3 linked regions of the Canis lupus familiaris genome follow. The protein of the gene in region 1 binds, or shares a complex with, the protein of each later gene. Links are inferred from orthologs where the notes say so. Each region holds a gene or a part of one and is shown on either strand. Other genes may lie near its edges. The genes, in order: CAPN2, CAST and CAPNS1.

Region 1 (6,836 bases):
TAGCACCTGCAAGAGGCCCGTCCCTCAGTAAACGTAAATCCAGCGATGCACATGAACTCATCCAAGGCTGTTTCCTGTTACCGCCTTGGGAAGTGGTAGGAGGGTGCTCACTCCTTTAGCACAAACTAGATTTCCTCAGCCTCCCCCGGAGCCTCCATCGGTGGCCTTGGGAGGTAAATGCGAGCCCCCCACGGCACACTGTTGCTGCCCACGGCTCGCTTCTAACCGTGCAACAGGGTCGCGGTGCTTGCGTGCTGAGCACCTGCTGCCGGAGCCGCAGGCACATCAGAGCTTTGCCTGCTGCCGTGCTGCCGTGACCGCGTGGTCCTGTGTGCCACAGGGGGCACTGCGGCTGCGGGGGGCCCGTCTGACTGTCCTTGTTCTTGTGCCCCTTGTGCGGTGCCCTCCCATACCTCAGAAGTGACCATCCATGTGCTCTTGCCCAGGGGAGCAGCTCGACAATGCACTTCTCTGACCCTGGAACCTGCTCCCACCCACTCAGGGACATGCAGGACACCCTGTGTGGGACCTGCTGGCCCGCCTTCCCCTGCCCCTACGCCCTCCTCCCTGCCGACCGCTCCCCACCTCCACCCGTGCTCCAGAAGTGTCCCTCATCATTTCAGAGGCCCCTGCCGTGCCCTCCGTGGCTGAGCTGGGAGGACAGCATGACTGTCACAGGTCTTTCCAAGAGTGAGTTCTCCTGCCTCCGTCTGGGTCACCCAAACCCTCCAACCTGCCTGTCCCCTGGTGGCTTGTCCACAGCTTCAAGCTCCTGGAGGCAGGACGAGGTGTCCAGCACCAGCATCCTCCTGGCACTGAGCCCCCTGCTCAGAGCTCTGTGCTGTGTCCACAGGTGACTGCTGGCTGCTGGCAGCCATTGCCTCCCTGACCTTGAACGAAGAGGTCCTGGCTCGTGTTGTGCCCCCGAACCAGAGCTTCCAGGAAAACTATGCAGGGATCTTCCACTTCCAGGTGAGTTAATGTTGGCACACACTTCTCCCCAGTGGGTCCTGGGGGACTAAGACAGGTCCTGGGGGGTTCTGAGGTTGGGTCCCGGTGGGGGGGAGCTGAGGACGGGCTGGGGGTGTTGCTGAGGATGGGTCTGGTGGGGTTCTGAGGATGGGTCAGGGGGATTGCTGAGGATGGGTCCTGGGGGTGCTGAGGGCGGGTCGGTGGGGGGTGCTGAGGATAGGTCTGGAGGATGCTGAGGACGGGTCCCGGGGGAGTGCAGAGGATGGGTCAGGGGGCCGCTAAGGACGGGTCCCGGGGTGGGGAGCTGAGGACGGGTCCCAGGGTGGGGGAGCTAAGGATGGATCCCAGGGTGGGAGCTGAGGATGGGTCCTGTGGGGGGAACTGAGGACAGGTCCCGGGATGGGGGAGCTGAGCACAGGTCCTGGGGGGGCAGCTGAGGACAGGTCCCGGCGGGAGGAGCTAGAATAGATCCTAGAAGCTAGGAACAGGTTCCCTGGCTCAGCCACGTTTATCAGATCCTGGGGTTTGCAAACCCCTAGGACCGTGCTGTCCTACAGAGGACCTGGAGAGGCTGCAGCAAGCTCTCTGGCCTGCTCCTGACAGGGACCCTGTCCCTGACGGGGAGACCCTGCAGGAATAGCAGTGGGGAGCCTCTTGAGACAGGCAAGGAGGGACGTAGTGCAAGGCACTCGAGTTAATTCCCAAGTTTCAAGCCTGTTCTGGGGTGTCTGAGTCAATGGCGAGGTACCACTCACTGTCCTCCCTTCAGGCTGGTAAATGAGAAGTCCTATCCTGAGAGCATGAGGTGCAGGCAGGGTGCCCGAGAGGCGAGTGTGGACAGGAGCTTCTGCCCTGGGCTTCTCAGCGAGGACTTGCCAGGAGGAGGAGGGTGGGAGGTCTCCTCCCGGGATGGGCTCACGGTGCCAGGGGCCGGGCAGGGAGGAGCCGGTGCCTCTGAGGCTGGGATCCCCAGGCGGCAGCCCGCCCACTGGCCCTTCCCGCAGCCCACCCCGGGCCACCCTGTCCTGTCTCTGTCCCCGACCCACAGTTCTGGCAGTACGGTGAGTGGGTGGAGGTGGTGGTGGACGACAGGCTGCCCACCAAGAACGGGGAGCTGCTCTTCGTGCACTCTGCAGAGGGCAGCGAGTTCTGGAGCGCGCTGCTGGAGAAGGCCTACGCCAAGTGAGTGAGCGTGAGCGTGCCCTTCCCTCCAGCAGCCTGCCCCAACTGCCCTGCATTCTGGAAGAGACGGGTGGTGGTCAGGAACTACCTGTTCCAGAATTGCGCTCTAGATTCAAGGAGTGAATGCAGGTGGGGTGCCTGGCCGCATCGCGCCTGGACGGGTGATCGTGCTCACCCTGCGTAGACACACGCACAGGAGCCGGTGTGGCGCAGACTGGCCTTGAGAAGGACCCCTACGTGCTTGGCAGGTCAGATCACATTTTTGTCAGCTAAATACCACAGAGTTTCTACTACTGGGCAGAACCGTCCAGTGCAGAGGTAGAAGTCTGGAAGCTTGTGCAGAATCTACGGTGTGCAATGAGATGTGGTTTCCCATGACCTCCCTGGGCGGGAACCCCATGACCTCATCCCGACTGTGCCGCCCAGACTCTGCGGCACCCAGAGGGCTCCTGGCCCTTGCAGCCACTGCTGGGGAGGAGGGCCAGCCCCCCCAGCTGTGACAGTCGGGGGTCTGGGAGCCACTTCTCAGTCACTTGCCTCAACAGCACCGCTAGAAGCCATGGGACGCCGTGGGGCAGGAGGGTGGGAGGAGCAGCACTGTGCGTGTGCACCTGGAATTGCTTTTGTTGTGGAGTTGTTGTCCTTTAAGCTTTAGATGCCAAACAGCCAATGAGCAGCCCTGCCCTTTGCTACGAGGATGTCCAAACCATGAGTACGGGGGGTCGGACCAGATAACCACCGGTCCTTCCACCTGGAAGACTAGATTTGCTGGAGCCCAAGCCGAGGGGATCCCGAGTGGACGGTCCCTGGAGCATCCAGTAAAGGGAAGCAGCAGTGGCAGCAGGATCTGTCCTCCCTCAGGATCAACGGCTGTTACGAGGCACTCTCGGGGGGTGCCACCACTGAGGGCTTTGAGGACTTTACCGGGGGGATCGCGGAGTGGTACGAGCTGAGGAAGGCCCCCCCTGACCTGTTCAGGATCATCCAGAAGGCTCTGCAGAAAGGCTCCCTCCTCGGCTGCTCCATAGACGTGAGTCCAGGCCCCACCACCTGCTATAGCTGGCACGTCCGTCCCGGTCCACTACACTGTGCCTCACCTGGAACCCATGGCTGGTCAGCAACTTCCAGGCTGTCTGGGGGACAACTGGTGGGCGAAGGTGGCCCCAGCCCACTTCCGACACCCACCTCCTGTGCATCACCAGCCTGGACCTCAGGCCCTGGGACCCCATTCCCTCGGCTGGTCCCCAGGGAAGCTCCTGCCCTCGGCTGGTCCCCCGGGAACCCCCTGCCCTCCACTAGTGCCCAGGGAGCCCCTTGTCCTCCGCTGGTCTGGGGGAAACACCCTGTGCAGACACTTGTCCCTGTGGACAGGGCCTGCATGGGCCTGGAGCCAGGTACCTTACCCTTCATTGCTGCAGGGTCCAAGGCCCTGGGAAAGACTTCGGGAGGGGCCCTTTCCTCCAGAAGCTGGGAGGTGTGCATCACGTCCTGCCCCCAGGCATCCTCTGGACAGAGGCTGAGCATCCCACCCCCACCCCAACCCTGTGCTACCCAGGACTCATTCCCTGTGGGGACAGAGAGGGAGGCCCCAGCTTCCACGGGCAAAATTTCTGTCCAACTTGCTAAAAAACAAAATTCAGTCTAGTAAATGTGAAGATATAATTGCCTTTATCAGGTGATCCGTGAGTTGGGTGGCACCCCATCCCGCAAGTAGCAGAGACCCTCTATGAAAGAAGGTGGGCAGCCTGACTCTTCCCATCTTTCCAGATCACCAGCATGGCAGACTCAGAGGCCATCACGTTCCAGAAGCTGGTGAAGGGGCACGCGTACTCAGTCACTGGGGCCGAGGAGGTAAGGCCGGCAGAGTTTGCAGGGGTGTCTTCTCCCTAACACCGCAGAGGACTGCCCCCCAGCTTAGTGGGTCCTGCACTCCCACGGCCCCTCCTCTACCAGGCCTTGAACTCCTGAAGCCAAGGGAGCGAGGCCAGCGATTCAAGGGCCGCTGCGCCCCATGTCTGCCCTCTGTGGGCCACGGGCCAGCTCTGGCGTGCTCCCTATGCTTCGTTCACACTCGCCTTGCTCTTCCCGACCGGCTAGATATAAAGGAACAGGGATCGCATCCATATAGTGTTTTAGATTCTCAAAATGGTGCTTTTGCGATTGATGTCACCGCAGCATCAGTGCTGAATTCCTGTTCCGGTCTGGCCGCCTCTGGCCCGCTGCATGGCCTGGGCACATTTCTCAAACTCCCTGGCCTGGAGTGTCCTCCAGTCAGAGGGGTGATGTCTGCAGGGAGCTGTGGTGGCAGGCGCCGCGGCTCCCCAGTGTCACAGTAACGCCACACGCCCCAGTCAGCAGCCGGCATCAGGGCGAGTACAGAACCCCATGTCTTCAGACGTGTCCATGGCTCCGTTCTGTTTTAAACCTTAAATTTTTATTTTATTCCCGAGCCCACCACACCCAAGACATGGACACCTTTTTATTTTGAAAAAGCTCAAGTCAATGGAAAGGTTGAAAGGCTAGAACAATCATAAACATCCAGGTACTGGGACTCCTGGGTGGCGCAGTTGGTTGGGCGTCTGCCTTTGGCTCGGGTCGTGATCCTGAGGTCATGGGATCGAGTCCCATGGGGGGCTCCCTGCTTAGCAAGGAGTCTGCTTCTCTCTCTCCTCCCCACTCATGCTCTCTCTCTCTCACTATCTCTCTCTCAAATAAATAAATAAGAATATTTTTTAAAAAAGAAAACATCCAGGTACTGCTTCTGTAGACTCAGTATCTGCACGTCTGTTTTCTGAGCCGTTGGTAGGTCAGGCACATACGTCACGAGACTTCCACATTCGCCTCCCAGGCTCTCATGTGACATCAGTGCTGTTGTCAGGTTTTCATCCCATGACAGCATCTCACGCAGAGCCCGTGTTCACACATCTTCCCACCTCGACAGCATGTCCCCTGTAGCGCCCGCCCAGGGCTCCAGGTCTAGGCAGCGTGACCACTCTGCATCTGCAGAATTCCTGCGCAGGTGGGAAGGTGCCCTCGCCCTGGGACCACAGCAGGTCCCGCTCTAGTCGGGAGGCTGGGGGCCCCATGCCATGGCATCTAGAATGAGGAGAATGAGGACACTGCTGCCGCAGGCTCGAGACCAATCAAGGAGCTGCGTCCTGCAAGAGTGGACCCAAGGAGTGGTCCACACTGGCAGTGGCAGGGGGCCTGGGGTCAGCCCTTCCCATTTCATGACCCGGACCCGACCCCTCTCAGCTGATGGAGAAGCCCCCCCAGGCCGGGCTTGAGCTCAGCAGCTCCCCTCTCCTTCCTGCACCCCACCTTCAGGTCGAAAGTGGGGGCAGCCTGCAGAAGCTGATCCGCATCCGCAACCCTTGGGGCGAAGTGGAGTGGACCGGGAAGTGGAATGACAAGTGAGCGGCATGCCCTCCCCTGGGAGGTTCTGGGGGCTGCGCTGGGGGGTCAGGCCCGGAGGCCGCAGGTCCCCCTCCCTGCCCCACTAGGGCGTGTGTGTGTCCTCCTGCAAGCCCCGGGCTCCGGCGACGCACAACCCATCCGTCACCTCACAGTCCACGCCTTCCCTGGTGCAGTCCCCCTGCTGGCGGGCCTTCCCAGGGTGGGAGGTGCAGAGAGGTTCCCAGCCAGGGCAGCCACTCGTGGGACTCTCAGTTCCCCTCACAGGGGCGGCCGGGCGTAGGCCGCCTGTGCTACCCCTTCTCCCCCGACAGCTGCGCTCTTTCTGCCGCCACCACCCAGGGGGCTCCCTGTCCTCACCCCCCTGCTTCCCGGCTCCGGCCCGCATACGTGTCACTCCTCCCGGTGGAGTCTGGCCCTTGGAGGCTCGGGAGCATGTCCCTGGGTACCCACTCTGGGGCTGTGGGGACGGTCCTCACCTGTCCCTTGGTTTCTCAGCTGCCCCAACTGGAACACGGTGGACCCAGAGGTGAGGGAGAGGCTGACCAGACGGCACGAGGACGGGGAGTTCTGGTAAGGTTGTTAGTGGCCGCAGGGCCAGGGCTCTGTCCTTGGGTCGTGGGCACAGGGGCGTGGGAGCTGCTTCTGTAGTCCTAAACTCCCCAGAAGACCCCGATGAAACTATTCCTCAGCCTCTCCCATTTGTCCATCTCAACGATGGGGTTTCAAAGGCCCAGGAGGGTTCAGGTCCCACGAGGAGACTGGAGAGGAGGAGCCCTTCCCCAACCAGCTCCCAGAGTGGGCCTGACACCTCAGGAAAGAAACAGTCCCTTGGAGAACAGGGCTGGGCCTGCGGCTGTGTCTGCCCACCTGCGTCTGTGCTGCCTGGCTCAGTGCTTTGAGCAGCACAGCGCCCGAGTGCGGTGCCAGGCCGGGCATCTGCACCTCTACCTGTGGGCCTGGGGGTGGCTCCTGGCCCAGCTGCAGGGGGAAGGTCACCGTTGTCAGCGTCCTCGTGTAACCTGGTCGTCCTTGTTCCTGCCTCGGCCAGGATGTCTTTCAGTGACTTCCTGAGGCACTACTCCCGAGTGGAGATTTGCAACCTGACCCCCGACACCCTCACCAGCGAGTCCTATAAGAAGTGGAAGCTCACCAAGATGGATGGGAGCTGGAGACGGGGCTCCACGGCTGGAGGCTGCAGGAACTACCCGAGTAAGGCCCTCCCGCATGCCCTCGCTGTCCCCCGCACCTCAGGGCCCGCTCACGCA
Region 2 (7,492 bases), on another chromosome or scaffold:
CTCTGGGAATTGCCAAACTGATGAAAGAACAATATCATCAGATGTTACTCCTGATTTAAAAATCTTATCTGCAATGGGAAGCAAACCAGTTTAGAAACTGTCATCCAAAAGAGGAAAGTTGTGTCCGACCTCCATTCTCCCAAATATTCAAAGTCTATGTGCTTTTTGCAAATTCTATAATTTGCATTCCTTACTCCTAAAAGTCATTGCAGCCAAGTAGTCTGTCCTGCCATGGAAGGCTTGTGACACTCTTCCCAGGATGGCCACAATGATGGGGCCTCCCAAATGACTGGGCTCCTTGATCATGCTGCCACTGGGCCCATGGGTCTAATTAGGCTAAGAAACACCTTTAATTAACAGGGCCTAATCGAGTCAACTTATGACTCAGGAATGTGATTACTGATGTCAACTGAATTTATTCTCTTTCATGCTTCATCATTATGATGCTCACTGGATGTTCTTCAGATCTAGCTTTTTAAAGTTGTTTTTTTCTCCCTACAACCACATAATTCTTTGGAAGATAAGATTGATAATATTGATAGTATTCAGTGTGGAAATATACACTGTACTGTGTTTCACTGACTGGCTTTATAGGTAGCACTCCCTTAAACAAATATCATAGATACACCTTTTAATTATTTTATCTTATTCTGCCTAGATTTTTAAAGTGAGGTCGTTCACAATCTTTTTCAGTATTTAAAGGGTCCTAGTAAAGATAATTAAATTATAGGGTGTATCAGAACCATTATGTATACATATATGCATGATATATATATGATATATATGATAAAAATACATATATATTATATATAAATCGTACATTTATATATAATTATTCTATAGTAGTATATACCATCATATTATATTATACAGTATATAACACTATATAATTACATTATATTACAGAGTATATATTATATAATTAAATTATATATCGTATTATTGTATATTACAATTTATATTATATATATGTGAAATATATGTGTTATAAATTGGCTCTGTGGACCTTTAGAGGATTTATGGGTGAGCTTTTGTGTATTTGTTTGTGTATTTTGCTAAGGGAAAATGGTCTATAGCTTTCATTTAATTCTCAGAACAGTCTGTAATCACTCCCTCATAGCCAACAGACAAAAATGGTTAGGAGCCATGCATGTCTAGAGCTATATCTTCCAATACTATAGCCCTTAGCCACTCATGCCTTTTGACTTGAAATGTAGCCAAGTATGAATCAATTTAAGTATAAAATGAACACTGGAGTTTGACGAATTAATATAAAAAAGATCTAAGGTACCTCAACAGTTTGTACCTTGATTATATGTTGAAATAATGTTTGGGATAGAGTGGGTTAAGTAAAATATATTATTATCATGAATTTCACCTGTATTTGCTTTTGTTAATGTGGCTACTAGGAAATTTTAAATTACATATGTGACACACCACATTTCTTTCAGATGACATTGGTTTGGGAAGAATCAAAGCTGATCACAGACAATTTGCTGATCCTGAGAGGCAAAAAAATTTTATGGTAGTTCCCAAATTGGAATATAAGAGAGATCTTAGCAAAATGACAGACGATGCCTAAACATAACAAAGTTAAAAGCACTGTTTTAAACTACTTCAAATATTCCAGCATTTCCTTGAGGGAATTTCCTTTAGGGAATCATGAATTTGGAAAGAGAAGTCTGATGTCACCTCTGAAACACTGCCATCCATATTTGCAGATAATTCCTGTGGTGCACTTTGATAAGAACCTTGGGACAATAATGACTCAAAGCAAACTTTTGCTTTCAGCACATAAATAAGATGCTATGTTTTAAAAGCCCAGAAAATGTAATGGGAAACAATTACAAAGAAATATCTTTAGGGAAACTGTAATTCCCAATCATTAAAAGTCTATGGGTACGGTGGGTACTTTGATCCATGAATCTAATCGGTCCTCACAACCCTTACGTGGTGCCTATTATGACCTTCATTTTACAGATTTGGAAACAGGTTCAGAAATGTTGACTCATTGCCCTTTGAGAAAAAGAACTATTATCTTATTCTCCACTGTGTACTTAGAGGCTAGGACCAGACTTGGCACATAGTAGGTGTTCAGTGAATGGCCACTGGCTTATCAGTGACAGTTTACTGATTTCCATACAAGGTTTCTCTCTAAAGCGTGTCTAATTAGAATAACCTTGCTTTTCCCAATACCACATGCTGAGAAAGACGTGTACTTAAAACTAAGTTTTTCAAATTCACACATCAATCAATGGGATAGAAATATTTTGATTCTCACCTACCAACACATCATTCGTGTATTTTTATTTTATTTTTTTTGTGTGTGGAAAAAAAAGTACAGAATCGCTCTAACTCTCACCGTCTCATTCTCAACAAAGCTCTTGATCTCGGTTGCTACTGCTCCTTGGAGTGTTGGGTTTTCTCTTGCCCCCCCATTCTCCTCCTCTGTGTTGGAAAATGCATGTCCAAGGACATTTCTCTAAAAGTTTCGAGCTTTGCACACAAGTTAAAAACGCTAGGTCTAGGCTCTTGCGAGCTGAGTTCATTCGGGAATCCGCATCCAGGGGCGGAATTCCTCCCGGAACTATTCCTGTCCCATTCAGCTCGAGAGCAAGCAGGGCCTCCTGCATCTCTGCTCACACGGACTCGCACGCCCGGGCGCGCTGGTGCATACCACAGCAGGGTGAGTCTCGGCCTCTCCCGGAGCCCAACCTGAAGTCCCGGGAAGAGGTCGCATGTGGTCCCCACCCCTTCCCAGCCCCAGTCCGGACAGCACTCATCCATCCGCACTCCCGGAAAGGCAGAGCAATCATCCCCTTCCCGTTCCTGCCCAGGCACGATCGCTCGCGTTTACCGTCTTGTACCACCAGCTTGCGAATGCCATGGCCACAGTCGGTGGGCTCGGAGCCGCGCGTGGCGGAGGGCTCGGCGAGGACGCGGGGTGCGGGGCGGCCGGCGCGGGGCTCCCACTTCGCCTGCCTGGGAGCTGGCGGGCTCTGCGCTCGGGACGCCCGCAGCCAGCAGGAGGCACGACACCTGGGCGCACCCGGAGCGGCCCCGCCCCGCAGACCCCGCCCCCGCAGGCCCCGCCCCGCCCGGAGCCGCGGGAGGCTGGCTAGGGTAGGGGTGTTATTTCACGGGGAAGCCCCGCCCCCACACCCGCCCCGCCCCCCCGCAGGCCCCGCCCCTCAGGCCCCGCCCCGCCCGGTGCCGCGGGAAGCTGGTTAGGGTAGCTGTGTTAGTTCTCGGGTAGCCCCGCCCCCGCAGGCCCCGCCCCCTCAGGCCCCGCCCCGCCCGGTGCCGCGGGAAGCTGGTTAGGGTAGCTGTTAGTTCTCGGGTAGCCCCGCCCCCGCAGGCCCCGCCCCCTCAGGCCCCGCCCCGCCCGGTGCCGCGGGAAGCTGGTTAGGGTAGGGGTGTTAGTTCTCGGGGAAGCCCCGCCCCCCCACAGGCCCCGCCCCCACACCCGCCCCGCCCCCCCCGCAGGCCCCGCCCCTCAGGCCCCGCACCGCCCGGTACCGCGGGAGGCTGGCTAGGGTAGCTGTGCTAGTTCTCGGGGAAGCCCCGCCCCCCGCAGGCCCCGCCCCCACACCCGCCCCGCCCCCCCCGCAGGCCCCGCCCCTCAGGCCCCGCACCGCCCGGTGCCGCGGGAAGCTGGTTAGGGTAGGGGTGTTAGTTCTCGGGGAAGCCCCGCCCCCGCAGGCCCCGCCCCCCGCAGGCCCCGCCCCCTCAGGCCCCGCCCAGCCCGGAGCCGCGGGAGGCTGGCTAGGGTAGCTGTGCTAGTTCTCGGGGAAGCCCCGCCCCCCGCAGGCCCCGCCCCCGCAGACCCCGCCCCGCCCGGTGCGGCGCGAGGCTGGCTAGGGTAGGGGTGTTATTCCTCGGGCAGCCCCGCCCCGCCCCGCCCGGCGCGGCGCGAGGCTGGCTAGGGTGGCTGTGTTATTCCTCGGGGCAGCCCCGCCCTGCAGCCCCGGCTTTAAGCGGAAGAGGGGATTCCGCGCTCGTTAAACTCCCCCCACTCCGGGGGCCTCGAAGGAACTCCCGCCCCCAGCCCTCTCTTCCCTCGCCCGCCTCTCCCCACCCAACTTTCCCCGACGCGGCCCGGCCCCCTGTGGAGCTCGCGCCTCGCCGGGCGCACTGGGCCGGGCCCGAGGGACCCCTGGTCACCTCCGGCCCCTGCCCGGCGGCGAGCCTGAGCCCCGCGCCCTTCCCGGCCCCGAGGGCGCCCGGGCCAGGCGGCCGCGCGGGTCACGCCCCGAGGAGGCGGCCCAGGGCCCCGGGGCTCGGATCCCCTCCCCCCAGCGCGGCCCTGCGGCTCCCGGAGGGGCGCCACTCACCTCCTGGGTGTCGCGGGCGGCGGCAGCGCGCCGGGGCCTCGGGGAGGCAGCGGGCTTCTGGCCCGGCTGAGACATGGCGAGGCCGCGGGATCGCTGCCTCCGGGAGGGCGCCGCGGGGCCGCGAAGGGAGGCCCGGGCGGGGCTGCTCTGCGAGCGAGCGAGCGAGCGAGCGAGGGAGGGAGGGAGGGAGGGGGCGGAGGGGCCGGCGGGCGCGCCCGTGAGGCAGCTTTTCCGACCCAGCCCCGAGCCCGCGCGGGGGCTCCCCCTTGCCCGGCCGGGTCCTCCCCTTCCTGCCGGCTGCTGGCTGCGGCCCCAGCTCCAGCGCCCCGGGGCTGAAGCCGAACACCCTCGGCCCCGTGGTCTTCGCCCCGAGGTCCTCCCCGCCTCCCAGGACTCGGGGCTCCCCGAGGTCGCAGGGAGGAGGGGCTGCAGGTCTCAGGGTTCCTCCTTCGACTTGCCCGGACTCAGCTTTCAGTTGTGCAACGGGAGAGCGGGACCCGGGCGTGGCCCGGCTGCGCCTCGACCCTTCTCCTTAAACAGGTCTCCAGAATTTTTGTTTTAAAGATTTTACTTATTTATGAGAAACACAGAGAGGGGGGGGGGGGGCAGGCAGAGACACAGGCAGAGGGAGAAGCAGGCTCCACGCAGGGAGCCCGACGTGGGGCTCGATCCCACGACTCTAGGATCACGCCCTGGGCCGAAGGCAGACGCTCAACCGCTGAGCCACCCAGGCGTCCCTATCTCCAGAATTAAACACCTTTCCTGCAATCTGTCCGGGTTTAGTTTGGAGAAGAATTTACCAACTCAAATCTGGCCCAAGCCTGGACCGTCTAGATAAGGAAGCGGATCACAAAAAAACAAATGGGTCTGTGCATTTGTTTGTCTGGATGTGTCTGTTTGTGTAGGTGTGTACGCTCTCCTGTGTGTATTTTCTGGCATCTCACTTGGAGGGGTTTTTTTTTGGGGGGGGGGGGCGGGAGGGCGCAATGTTGAAAGTTTTAAAACGTTTTATGGGGGTAGGAAGCCGTAGGTTCCAATTCAAACCAAAGAATAGTCCCAAATTAAAACCCCTGTAGCGTTTCTGGAGCCTGGCCGGTTTTGTTTCCGAGGCCAAAGTGTTTTTAGTCTTTGACTCATCTTAAACAGCACTTCCTGGTTTAGGCCTGGAAGTGAAGTATAACAAGCTTGTCTAGAAAATGCTCATCTGCTGAGACTGTCACCCTTCCATTCTGTGGTTTGTGATCAGACCCGACAGAAAAAAGAACCCGTTTCCCTGGGGTGGCATGGACACTTAGGACCCGAGGGTGACCACTCTCTGCAGTGTTATGTTTTAGACATTTGCTGAGAGAGAAGCCAGGTTGTAGGAAAAGAGTAGTCATGCTGTATTTAGGGATTTTTGTCTTCATTTACAGACTAGCAGCATTCCTGATGGGGGGAGCAGTGAGGAGTGCTGAAAATGGATTTCCTTTTTAAAAGTTTTGCTTATTATCTATGTAACTAGCATTTCCAGCACACAGGCTACGGTGTGAGAATTTACCCATAAAAATGAAATGACTTGGATAAGGGATCTATCATTGTCCATTCAAGAAAAATTGATTGGTGGCATGAATTACACTCATAATTGGAGGAAATATGTCATAAGCCTGAAAAAAAAAATGACTTAAGAATGCAACCAAACACCTACAGTAATTTAAATAAGCACACAAACTACAGGGCCCAGGTGATAGGCAGCCCCATCTCTAGGCCCAGGAACCAGAAACACATCCATACTAAAGATCCTAGAGGACCTAGGTTCAGGCTTTAGATCCCTGACACATTATTCTGAGTCTGGAAGAAGAATGGTTTGTTGATTAAAATTTGAGGTGTTTTCTAAGGGGTATTTAAAATTGAACTTAAACCAGTTAGTGTTATATTCTTTGAAAGTCTTTCATCATGTAAAGCATTGTGAAAGAAATTGATATACGGATAAAAATGCATATTTCCTGCACTCCAAGGACTTAGAGGTTAGCTGGAGTCATGTGGCATTTGTAACACATCATTTGGGTGACAATGAGGCAGGTATGAGTAAGTACAAATGTGTTTTGGGAGTTTGGGGTTCTGTGGGGCTTAGTGCTTTTAGGAAGGTAAAAGAAGCTTGAGTGGGCAGGCTGGCTGGTGGGATGTGGACAGGGGTAGAAAGGGTGGGGGCAGTTCAGGAAATATTAAAAAAGCCTACCCATCTGGTTGGAGCTGCTGGTGCAAGTTTAGAAGTAATCGATCCATTTGCCAACTTACTATTTACCAAGCAGCTGCCATGCCAGGTGATATAATTGATATCAAAATCTATAAGAGATAATGACATTAGCCTTCAGGCTTTGCTTAAGGGTTGGAACTCCATAAGCAGATCAGTTATGGGCTAAACTATGCATTGATGATGATGAGTAAAGAAGAATTACAAATAAGTTGAAGAAGAAAGAGGGCAGTGTTTTCACTTTCTCTTGTAGTCAGTGAGGAATTCGAACTTTGATACCATGACCAGCAGTTGAACACCTTAGAGAAGGTCATTTTAAATATATATGGCACCTTTGTTTTATTTTTATTTGCACATTCCTTCATTTACTCAGTAACAGGATGACTGCATTGTGTCAGGCTCTGTGGAGGTACCGGGGGCCTGAAAGTCTAGGAGGAAAGACAGACAAATTCACCACCACATGACCATGGACGAAGGGTAAGGGCTGGCAGAGATATTCCAAGAGCACTACAGGATCCTGAGGGACCTCTCACTCTGACCGTGATGGGCTGGCTGGGGAGACGGGGAGCTCAAGGGCTCCTTCCTCCTGCCATGTTTGACTTGACTGAGTTGTAACCTCCTCCACATGACCTCCACCTTGTATCTTCTCTTCATCCCCCCTGTTGCAGGAGCTGTTCAGGAGCTCATCACTTCTCATCAGGAAACATGTAAACTGAGAAAAAGAAAGACAGGATGGAAACTGGAGAAAAAGCCAGTGGAACCTGAGAAGGAGCTACGGGGGGCGGGGGGGGGGGGGGGTAGGAGGAAGCTAGGAAGGAAGTAGGTACCAGAGGCCGAGGGAGGAGGGGCTCCTGAAAGGAAGGGGCTGATCCGGCAATATGACATTTCACTCAAAGGTTGGGTCAGACAATGGATGAAGAGTGTCCAT
Region 3 (7,633 bases), on another chromosome or scaffold:
TTCGCAGGAACGTCACTTTTCTCACTAAGTCCTTAAGACACCAGCCTCACCAGTATTATTCCCCAGTCAGAGAAAGAAACCAATTCAAAGATGAAACTCTACCTATGATCATAGTAGCAGCTAATGTGTACAACCACTTACGATGTGCTATGGCTATGCATTGTCCTAAATAAACCTTTTGCATGTAGCTCCAATTCAGTTTCACTATTATCATTCACTTCATTTTATAGACTGGCAAATTAAGGCACAGAGAGGCTCCATAACCTCACTAAACAGCACAGCCAAGCATGTAGAACTCTGTGCTACATATGTATGTGATCACATGACATATATAGGTGTCTACATTTCCCCTATGTGCTGAGCATGCATGTATCCAAGATCAATTAATGATTGGCCCATGTGCAAACATGCATGTGTGTTCCTGTGAACATGCCTTCACATATCTTCACCTATACAGTGTACCCTTGCATATATGTGCATCATGTATATAGGCATACCTATAGCAGTTATAAGCTTGGGTTCTTGGGGCACCTGGCTGGCTCAGTCAGTAGAGTGTGTGACACTTGATCTCTGATTGGGGAGTTCAAGCCCCACGTTGGGTGTAGTACTTATTTAGAAAAAGAAAGAAAAGAAAAAAAAAGAAAAGAAGGAAAGAAAGAAGAAAGAAGAAAGAAAGAAAGAAAGAAAGAAAGAGAAAGAAAGAAAGAAAGAAAGAAAGAAAGAAAGAAAGAAAGAAAGAAAGAAAGAAAGAAAGAAAGAAAGAAAATAAATAAGCTTGGGTTCTTGAGCCTAAAAGGCCTGAGTCCAAATTCCTACCCTGCCACTTACTTTGTAAGCGTAACCTTCAGACAAATGATTGCCTCTCTCTGAGTCTCAGTTTCTTGACCTACAAAATGGACTAAAACAATTCTGCCTATTTAACAGAACAGCTGTGAAATGCCAGCTGTGATAGCTGAGGTTACTATTTATCGCCACACGTCTGGGTGTGTGGTAGTGAGTGTGTGTTCTGATATATGTATGTCCACATTTGTGTGTATGAAAGCTACACCCTGGCTCTCCTAACCATGCTCTCACAAAACTCCTTCACCCAAGGCTTCAGTCAGATTGCCCCCAAGGATACATCCATCACGGCCACCATGCTGCGACATGTGTCAATGCCAAAACCATCAGTTTTCAGATCAGGATCTGTGGGGGACAGATTGAAAGTCAGAAGGCCAGAGGTCACAACTACCCCAGCAACCCATGACTCAAAACCTGTCCTATGTGTTGAGCCCAACAACTCACGTCTGGTTACGACCTTGTTGAGAATGTTCATGAGTTCTGTGGCACTGACTTCCATGTCCTGTGGGGAAAAGTCAGGGATGGTCACAAGGGAAGAATGTCATGAAGGAGAATGGGGATTCTTTGGGGATTGCCATTTTTGGGGGTGTGTGCAAGGGCAGCCCAAAGGAAGATGTGGAAGACTTAGGACAAAGATAGGGGCCCAGGGTTACTTACATCTCCAGCCAGCTGAGCAAAGAGCCTCCGGAACTGCCGGACCTCCTCGCTCTCATTGGCTTCAATGTTGGAGTAATGGGTGCGTGGAGGCTGCAGAGGGAAAAGATCTCAGAGCAAGTGGTGGAGGGGTGCCCGGGTCAGGACAGCCCTTGGTGGGAAAGTCGGAATGGGCTGAGTGGCTGGGTGATCAAAGAAATGAGAGATGGTCAGAAAGCAGGGAGTGGCTATAGCTAAGTTTGGGGACCTTGGCAAGGGAGAGATTTAATGAGTGGAATTTCATAAGGGGGACAAAGGGACAATGATGGGTGTGGAAAAAAGCCTGGGAGTGAGAAGCAGGGTCTCCGATTATAGAGGGTGGCTTACCGGAGGCTCTGGGTTGTACTGCGCAGCTGCCTCACTGAGGGGAGAGAGTTAGGGAGTTAGCGCCAGTGTGCGGAGCCTCCAAAGACGGTGCCCAACCCCTCAAACTCCAGCCCACCACCCTCCCCACCGGCTCCTTCTGCTCGCCTTAACGGTCCCTCTTTGCTGCCCTGGTTGCACCTGGCAGGAAACTCAGAGGCCCGCCCTACGGTAGGCCAGGGCCAGGCCAGGGCACACCTGCCCAGTGACAGATTCCTCAACAGATCACTTCATAGAAGCTCTGACCCAGCTTCCTGGGGCTCCATCCTCCTCAGGCCCCTTCTGTCTAGGAACCTGCTCCGTCCTGTGGCTTCCTGAACACCCGTGTTTCCCAACATCCCACCAGCTCCAGGAGTCCCCACCCCTTCGAGGGGGGCCACGGTTAATGAGGCCCCTGGTGACAACCCGCTCCACCTCGACCAGGTCGTACTTCTAGCCAGATCCACCTCCTTCAGGATCATCTCCCGCATCCCATTCGGCCTCGGCCTCTGCTGGGTCCAGCGCCTCACTGACCCGAGACCACGGCCACGCCGCGCCCGCAAGGCAGGCCTGGCCCCGGGAAGAGACGGCCGGGCTCAGCGGCTCCGCCCCCCTAACGTTCGTCTCCCGGCCGCCGGGAGGCAGGCCGCGCCCCCCCAAGCCCCACCTCCCCGAGCAGCGCCCGGCAGATCGCCCCTCAGCCGTCAGACTCCGCCCACGTCAAGCGCCGCCTCCTGAACTGCCAGCGGCCCCGCTACGGCCCGCGCCCTCCAGGCGGGTGGCCCAGCCTCGAAGACTGCAGGTCAGGCCCCAGGTTACCTCCATCTACTCAGGCGGGACATGCTCCTCCGCCGGGCCCCGCCCCTCAGGCCCCGCCTTACCTGATGGCACTAATGACCCCGCCCAGGATGCGCATGGCCGTTCCGCCCCCGCCGCCGCCGCCGCCGCCGCCGCCGCCTCCTCCGCCGCCGCCGCCGCCGCCGGCTCCGCTGATCAGGCCTCCGATCACATTCCCCAGGCCCCCGCCCAGGCCCCCGCCTCCCCCGCCGCCGCCGCCTCCTTTCAAGAACGAGTTAACCAGGAACATGGCTGCGATTTAAAATTCCTGGGGGGGGAAAGGGGGGGTCAAGGGGCCGCATCGCCACGGAGCCCGCTCCTTCCACACAAAAATACGCATTTCTGGCAGCCGGACTTGGGGAGTAACATGAGGCCTCAGGGCAGGGACTTATGCTCCGGCTCGGGCTTGACGGTGCATTTGGGATGGGGTCTGGGGTTCTGGGGGAGGGTAGTTTTCGGATGGGTGGGACAGGGACTGAGGATCGGGTTTGAAATCCCCTCTGGGTCCAAAGGATCTCCTTCTGGCTTGAGGGCCCCTGGACTGAGTCCATAGTGCATAGGCATCATCCAGGGTAAGGGTCCAGGTCTGGGGGCTTCTCCAGGTGGGGGCCCCAAGCTGGTGCAAGACATCTTTGACATGTCTAGGTACTCGAGTCAGATCGAGCCCCAGAGCTGGGTTTCGGGGTCTTGGGCGGGTCAGGGGCGCCGATCAGAGATTCTCCACTTGGAAGGCTCTGGGGCAGGGTTCAGGAAACCCAGAAATGTGAGCTTGAGGGTTTCGATACTCCCAGCAGCGGGTTACAATGTCGCCGCTGATTCTGCGGGCTCGGGTCTAAGACTGTGGGTGTGAATCCCGGGGCCTGGGATAACGGGGTGCCCATTAGAATTGGGAGAACGGATCTAAGGATCGTGGTTCTGGGGACCCTACCCTGAGCATAATTTGTAGGAGTACCTCTCAAATCCACGGGCTCGAACTTTAGATCCTGAGGCAGAGGGTGGAAGAGTCCCCGGCGGGGGAGGGGGGGATAACCTGGTGCCGGACATAACTGGGGCTTCCAGTCTGAGATCATGGGTCGGGGGGGGGGACCCCTGAGACCAGGGCTTAAGGGTGTTGGATATGGGGGCCGCAAGGACCGGGGTTACGGAGTACAGGGCTAATCCAGATCGGGCGCTCACCGCCTCGCTCACTCGTCCGTGGATCCGTTCGTCCGCGCTGCTCCCGGGCCTCCGGCCGCGTCCGGCTCCGCAGGGCGGGGCGGGTGACTCAGGCTGCGGGCGGGGCTGGGCTCTGCGGGCGGCCCGACCGGCCTCCGCGCGGTCCTAGAGCCGGCCTGAGCTGCGCCTGCGCGCGCCGGGCCCGCCTCCCGTGACCCCGAGCGGCCGCCGCGGCTCCGCCCCGCGCGTTTCCTGAGCTGTGGGTGCGGACCCCGCCCTGCGCTCCGAGATCCGAGGTCTTCCCGGTCCTTGAGGGCAGTGCGGTCGCCGTGCCCGGGATCCCCCCCTAGTGTTGCAGTGTGAATTCTGGCCCCACAGCGAGCCCCCGTGCGCCCCGCGGTGCCGTTTTCGGTCCGCTGGGAAGGGGACTTCGGGCCCGCGCCCCGGATCCTAGTCCTGTCGCCACAAAGCATTTGGAGACCCGGATGCTCGGCCCACAGCCCGGGGACCGGCGCCCGCATTTGGGGCAAGGGGCTAAGGCTGGACTAGCTTTCCCGGGGCCCTGCAGCAACCAGGTGGCGGTCAGACTGCAGGAAGGACTTCCCCGCCTACAAAAGTTGCCTGTGCCTCCTCCCCCCGCATCCTTTTACCCCGAGTCAGCGGCGCCAAGTGTCGCCTCCTCCTTCCCATCTCTAAAGAGGGGCCTGGGCACCCGAACAGTCAGTCTCTCTGGCCTGGTTTCTGAAGCTAGATGTCCCCAAGATCGGGCGGAGAAGTAGGGGGTGGGGAATGCAGAAGCTGGCAGGGCAAAGGGCGGCAGCGGAAGCCCCTCTGGGGAGCTCCGGCCTCCAAACTTCAGGGCTCCTCAGAGGGAGCTAATCTGGCTCCCAGGCCTTCTGGAAAGTCTGGCCCCCTTCGACTCTCCCCTGGAGGCTGACTTAGCTTGAGTCTGAACCCTGGCTCTGACATTTAATAACTGGGATCCTTTGGGCTCTGAGCAAGGCTGTTTTGTTTTGTTTCATTTCGTTTTAGCAAGGATTTATTCATCTGTAAAATGAGAAACAAAGGTTCCCATTCCCCCTCAGAATTGAGTGGTAAATAAGGTTAGTAAAGAGGAAACTGTGTGTGCCTGTACCCATGCTGCTGTTCCCTCCTCCTGTAGCCCACCTGGATTCCTCAGGTGGTTGACTGACCTACCCTTAGGTGATACTGATAAAAATAAGGGCCAGGCACTCTCCTGAGCACTTTACATATAACCTCACATGCCCTTGTAACAGCCCTATGGCGTGGATGTACACAGTATTTCCATTTTACAAGTAAACTGACTGAGGGTAAACTCCCTAGCCTGTAACCTTAACCACTACCCTAAAGCATTGACTTCAATAATATGATTAATTTTTCTTAAGATTTTATTTATTTATTCATGAGAATACACAGAGAGGAGAGAGAGAGAGGCAGAGACACAGGAAGAGGGAGAAGCAGGCTCCGTACAGGGAGCCCGACGTGGGACTCGATCCAGGGTCTCCAGGATCACGCCCTGGGTGGGCCAAAGGCGGTGCTAAACCGCTGAGCCACCCGGGCTGCCCAATATGATTAATATTGGCGCTCCTGACTAGCTGAGTTGGAAGAGCATGAAACTCTTGACCTCGGGGTCATGAGTTCAAGCCCGGCATTGGGTATAGGGATTACTAAAAGGAATAAACTTAAAATAATATAATTAATATGATAATAGCCTAGATAACAAGATCACATCAGACAAAACTGTAGTAGCAGCCAGGCCAGGGAATTGCTACACAAGCCTTGCCTATGAGGCAGGAATTTATAGGAGAGAAAAGTGGAGGCCAGGTGGGTCACTTGCCTAAGGTCACAGAGGATGGCAGAACCAGGTAGGAATCTGGGCCTGGCTGAAGTCAAAACTTGGTGACGACTAATCCAAATTCCCTTCTTACCACACCCTTCCCTACCACTCTGGAAAGCTTCCACTGCCTGCCCTCTCCAGGGCTCCCTGCCAGGCCTTTGCATGGGCCATGCCCTCAACCTGAAACACTCCCGCCTTTTTTACTTGGTGATGTAGGTACTCAGGTCGCTCAGGACTCACCTCTTCTAGGAAGCACTCCCTGTCTCCACCCCGACCTGAGACTGGGTGAGGCTTGCAGTTGCTGGCTTGCCACTTACACTCTCTCCTAACACGCTGCCACTCACTGGCATCTAGATCAGTCTCCCTGTCCTTTTAACCCTGGCCGGCTCCAGGTGTCAGGCCTTGGTCCTCCTCTGTATCCGCTCATGCCATAGAGGATCTCCCCCCACATTCGGGGTGTACAGTCCATCTCTAGGCTACTAAGATCCAAATTTCTGTCTTCAATCCAGACACCTCCAGGCTCCTACAAACTGCATTCTATTCACCTTCTCTGTAGGGGTCTTAGAAGTGTCTCAAACTTCACACATCCTAAACTGAGCTTCTAACTTCTCCCAAACCTGCTCCCTCCCCCCTTTCCCCATCTAGGTTGATGGCACCTCTGTCCTTCCAGTGACTGAGACTGCACAGCCCAGGATCATCCTGACCTCTCTTCCGCACCCGTGCCAACCCGTCAGGAAATGTTGACTCCACCAACACTGCCCCAGCCCGGGACAGTTTCCATCCTCCCTGACCTGACCCCACAGCAGCTCCTCCCTGGGCTCTGTGCTCCCTGCCTGCCCGCACAGTCTGCTCCCCATCCACAGCCAGAGGGAGCCTGTGATACCCTGAGTCAGGTCTGGGCCCTCTCCTGGCCACACTTCTCTCCTGGTAAGAGTCAGTCCTCACCATGGTCACCCATGCTAGTGATCTGTACTGTCACCTCTCTGACCTCACCTCTTCCTCCTTAAGAAAGTGAGAAGAAGCACTACTGGCACCTCAACCTGGTTGTTCCCAGCCCCCTTGGAGGCCCTGCAAGTGCAGCAATATCCAAAGAGCCCATCTTCTGGTGCCCTTGAGGGCTGCTACCCCTTTACCAAGGCCCTCTCTGGCCACACCTTAGTGCCTCAAGTCTGCACATCTAGTGGTCTCAGGAAGATCCTTTCAGATCTTTGATTTCACCCCCACACTCCCCGTTGCACCCACATGCTTCCTTTATCATTTATCACCTGCTAACATGGTGTATAGTTTACTCATTTATCCAGTTCCTTATCTTTCTCCCCCACTAGAATATTAGCTGCTCAAGGGATTGCTGTCCGTCTTGTTCACTGCTGGGTACTGAGTTCCTAGAACAGTGCCTAGCACACCTTAGGGGAGATAGTACAGCAAGCATACTAAAGTCCTCCACCATCTTCCAGATTCCTTTGAATTCAGACATGGTTATGACTTGTTTTGGCCAATAAAATGTGAATGGAAATATCGGGAGTGTATTTATTTATTTATTTATTTATTTATTTATTTATTTAAAGATTTTATTTTTAAGTAATCTCTATACCCAGTGTGGGGCTTGAATTTACAATCCCAAGATCAAGAGTTGCATGCTCGGGAGTCGATTCAACGGGGTTCCGGGCTGGGCTATGGAGCAGGTAAATGAGCTGAAAGAGAAGGGCAATAAGGCCCTGAGTGCGGGCAACATTGATGACGCACTGCAGTGCTACTCTGAGGCCATTAAGTTAGATCCCCAGAACCATGTGCTCTATAGCAATCGCTCCGCAGCCTACGCCAAGAAAGGGGACTACCAGAAGGCTTATGAGGATGGCTGCAAAACCGTGGACTTAAAGCCCGACTGGGGCAAGGGCTATTCGAGGAAGG

What was found.
Region 2: the proteins of CAPN2 (region 1) and CAST are in contact, whole or in part, in a crystal structure (PDB 3BOW), measured with the Rattus norvegicus proteins. The link is inferred for Canis lupus familiaris from reciprocal best matches to the Homo sapiens genes CAPN2 and CAST. Residues at the interface, in NP_058812.1 of Rattus norvegicus: Glu62, Leu63, Ser68, Lys69, Gln99, Gly100, Ala101, Leu102, Gly103, Trp106, Lys161, Asp162, Leu165, Leu166, His169, Ser196, Gly197, Gly198, Thr200, Ser241, Asp243, Ile244, Thr245, Asp249, Ser250, Glu251, Ala252, Val253, Val259, Lys260; in NP_445747.2 of Rattus norvegicus: Glu571, Leu572, Asp573, Ala575, Leu576, Asp577, Glu578, Leu579, Ser580, Ser582, Leu583, Gly584, Gln585, Arg586, Gln587, Pro588, Leu596, Asp597, Asp598, Lys599, Val600, Lys601, Glu602, Lys603, Ile604, Lys605, Ala606, Glu607, His608, Ser609.
Region 3: the proteins of CAPN2 (region 1) and CAPNS1 are in contact, whole or in part, in a crystal structure (PDB 1KFU), measured with the Homo sapiens proteins. The link is inferred for Canis lupus familiaris from reciprocal best matches to the Homo sapiens genes CAPN2 and CAPNS1. Residues at the interface, in NP_001739.3 of Homo sapiens: Ala2, Gly3, Ile4, Ala5, Lys7, Leu8, Ala9, Arg12, Glu13, Glu16, Phe60, Arg366, Arg416, Arg417, Arg418, Arg420, Asp494, Ile516, Phe551, Glu575, Lys578, Val581, Asp582, Asp585, Gly588, Ser589, Gly590, Gln641, Leu642, Gln644; in NP_001003962.1 of Homo sapiens: Thr85, His86, Ser88, Asp111, Asp112, Met113, Glu114, Ser116, Thr118, Asp142, Arg145, Ser146, Ala149, Val150, Met151, Asp152, Ser153, Asp154, Thr155, Thr156, Gly157, Gly160, Phe161, Glu163, Asn206, His208, Leu209, Met212, Ile213, Arg215.

The regions. Positions count from the first base shown.
Region 1 is NC_049228.1:40,297,979-40,304,814, reverse strand, and holds part of CAPN2 (calpain-2 catalytic subunit), read left to right. Parts: intron 1-853; coding exon 854-972; intron 973-2,020; coding exon 2,021-2,154; intron 2,155-3,015; coding exon 3,016-3,184; intron 3,185-3,921; coding exon 3,922-4,005; intron 4,006-5,481; coding exon 5,482-5,567; intron 5,568-6,066; coding exon 6,067-6,141; intron 6,142-6,619; coding exon 6,620-6,780; intron 6,781-6,836. UniProt on the Homo sapiens protein: Calcium-regulated non-lysosomal thiol-protease which catalyzes limited proteolysis of substrates involved in cytoskeletal remodeling and signal transduction. Proteolytically cleaves MYOC at 'Arg-226'.
Region 2 is NC_049224.1:13,065,929-13,073,420, forward strand, and holds the start of CAST (calpastatin), read right to left. Parts: upstream 4,489-7,492; 5' UTR 4,410-4,488; coding exon 4,335-4,409; intron 3,016-4,334; exon of another isoform or gene 2,888-3,015; coding exon of another isoform or gene 2,858-2,887; intron 1-2,857.
Region 3 is NC_049222.1:117,398,968-117,406,600, forward strand, and holds the start of CAPNS1 (calpain small subunit 1), read right to left. Parts: upstream 3,961-7,633; 5' UTR 3,889-3,960; intron 2,981-3,888; 5' UTR 2,963-2,980; coding exon 2,757-2,962; intron 2,739-2,756; exon of another isoform or gene 2,718-2,738; coding exon of another isoform or gene 2,695-2,717; intron 2,678-2,694; exon of another isoform or gene 2,543-2,677; intron 2,408-2,542; exon of another isoform or gene 2,327-2,407; intron 1,895-2,326; coding exon 1,861-1,894; intron 1,588-1,860; coding exon 1,498-1,587; intron 1,343-1,497; coding exon 1,285-1,342; intron 1,186-1,284; coding exon 1,121-1,185; intron 1-1,120. Other genes in the region: stress-induced-phosphoprotein 1, read left to right, coding at 7,399-7,633. UniProt on the Homo sapiens protein: Regulatory subunit of the calcium-regulated non-lysosomal thiol-protease which catalyzes limited proteolysis of substrates involved in cytoskeletal remodeling and signal transduction. Essential for embryonic development.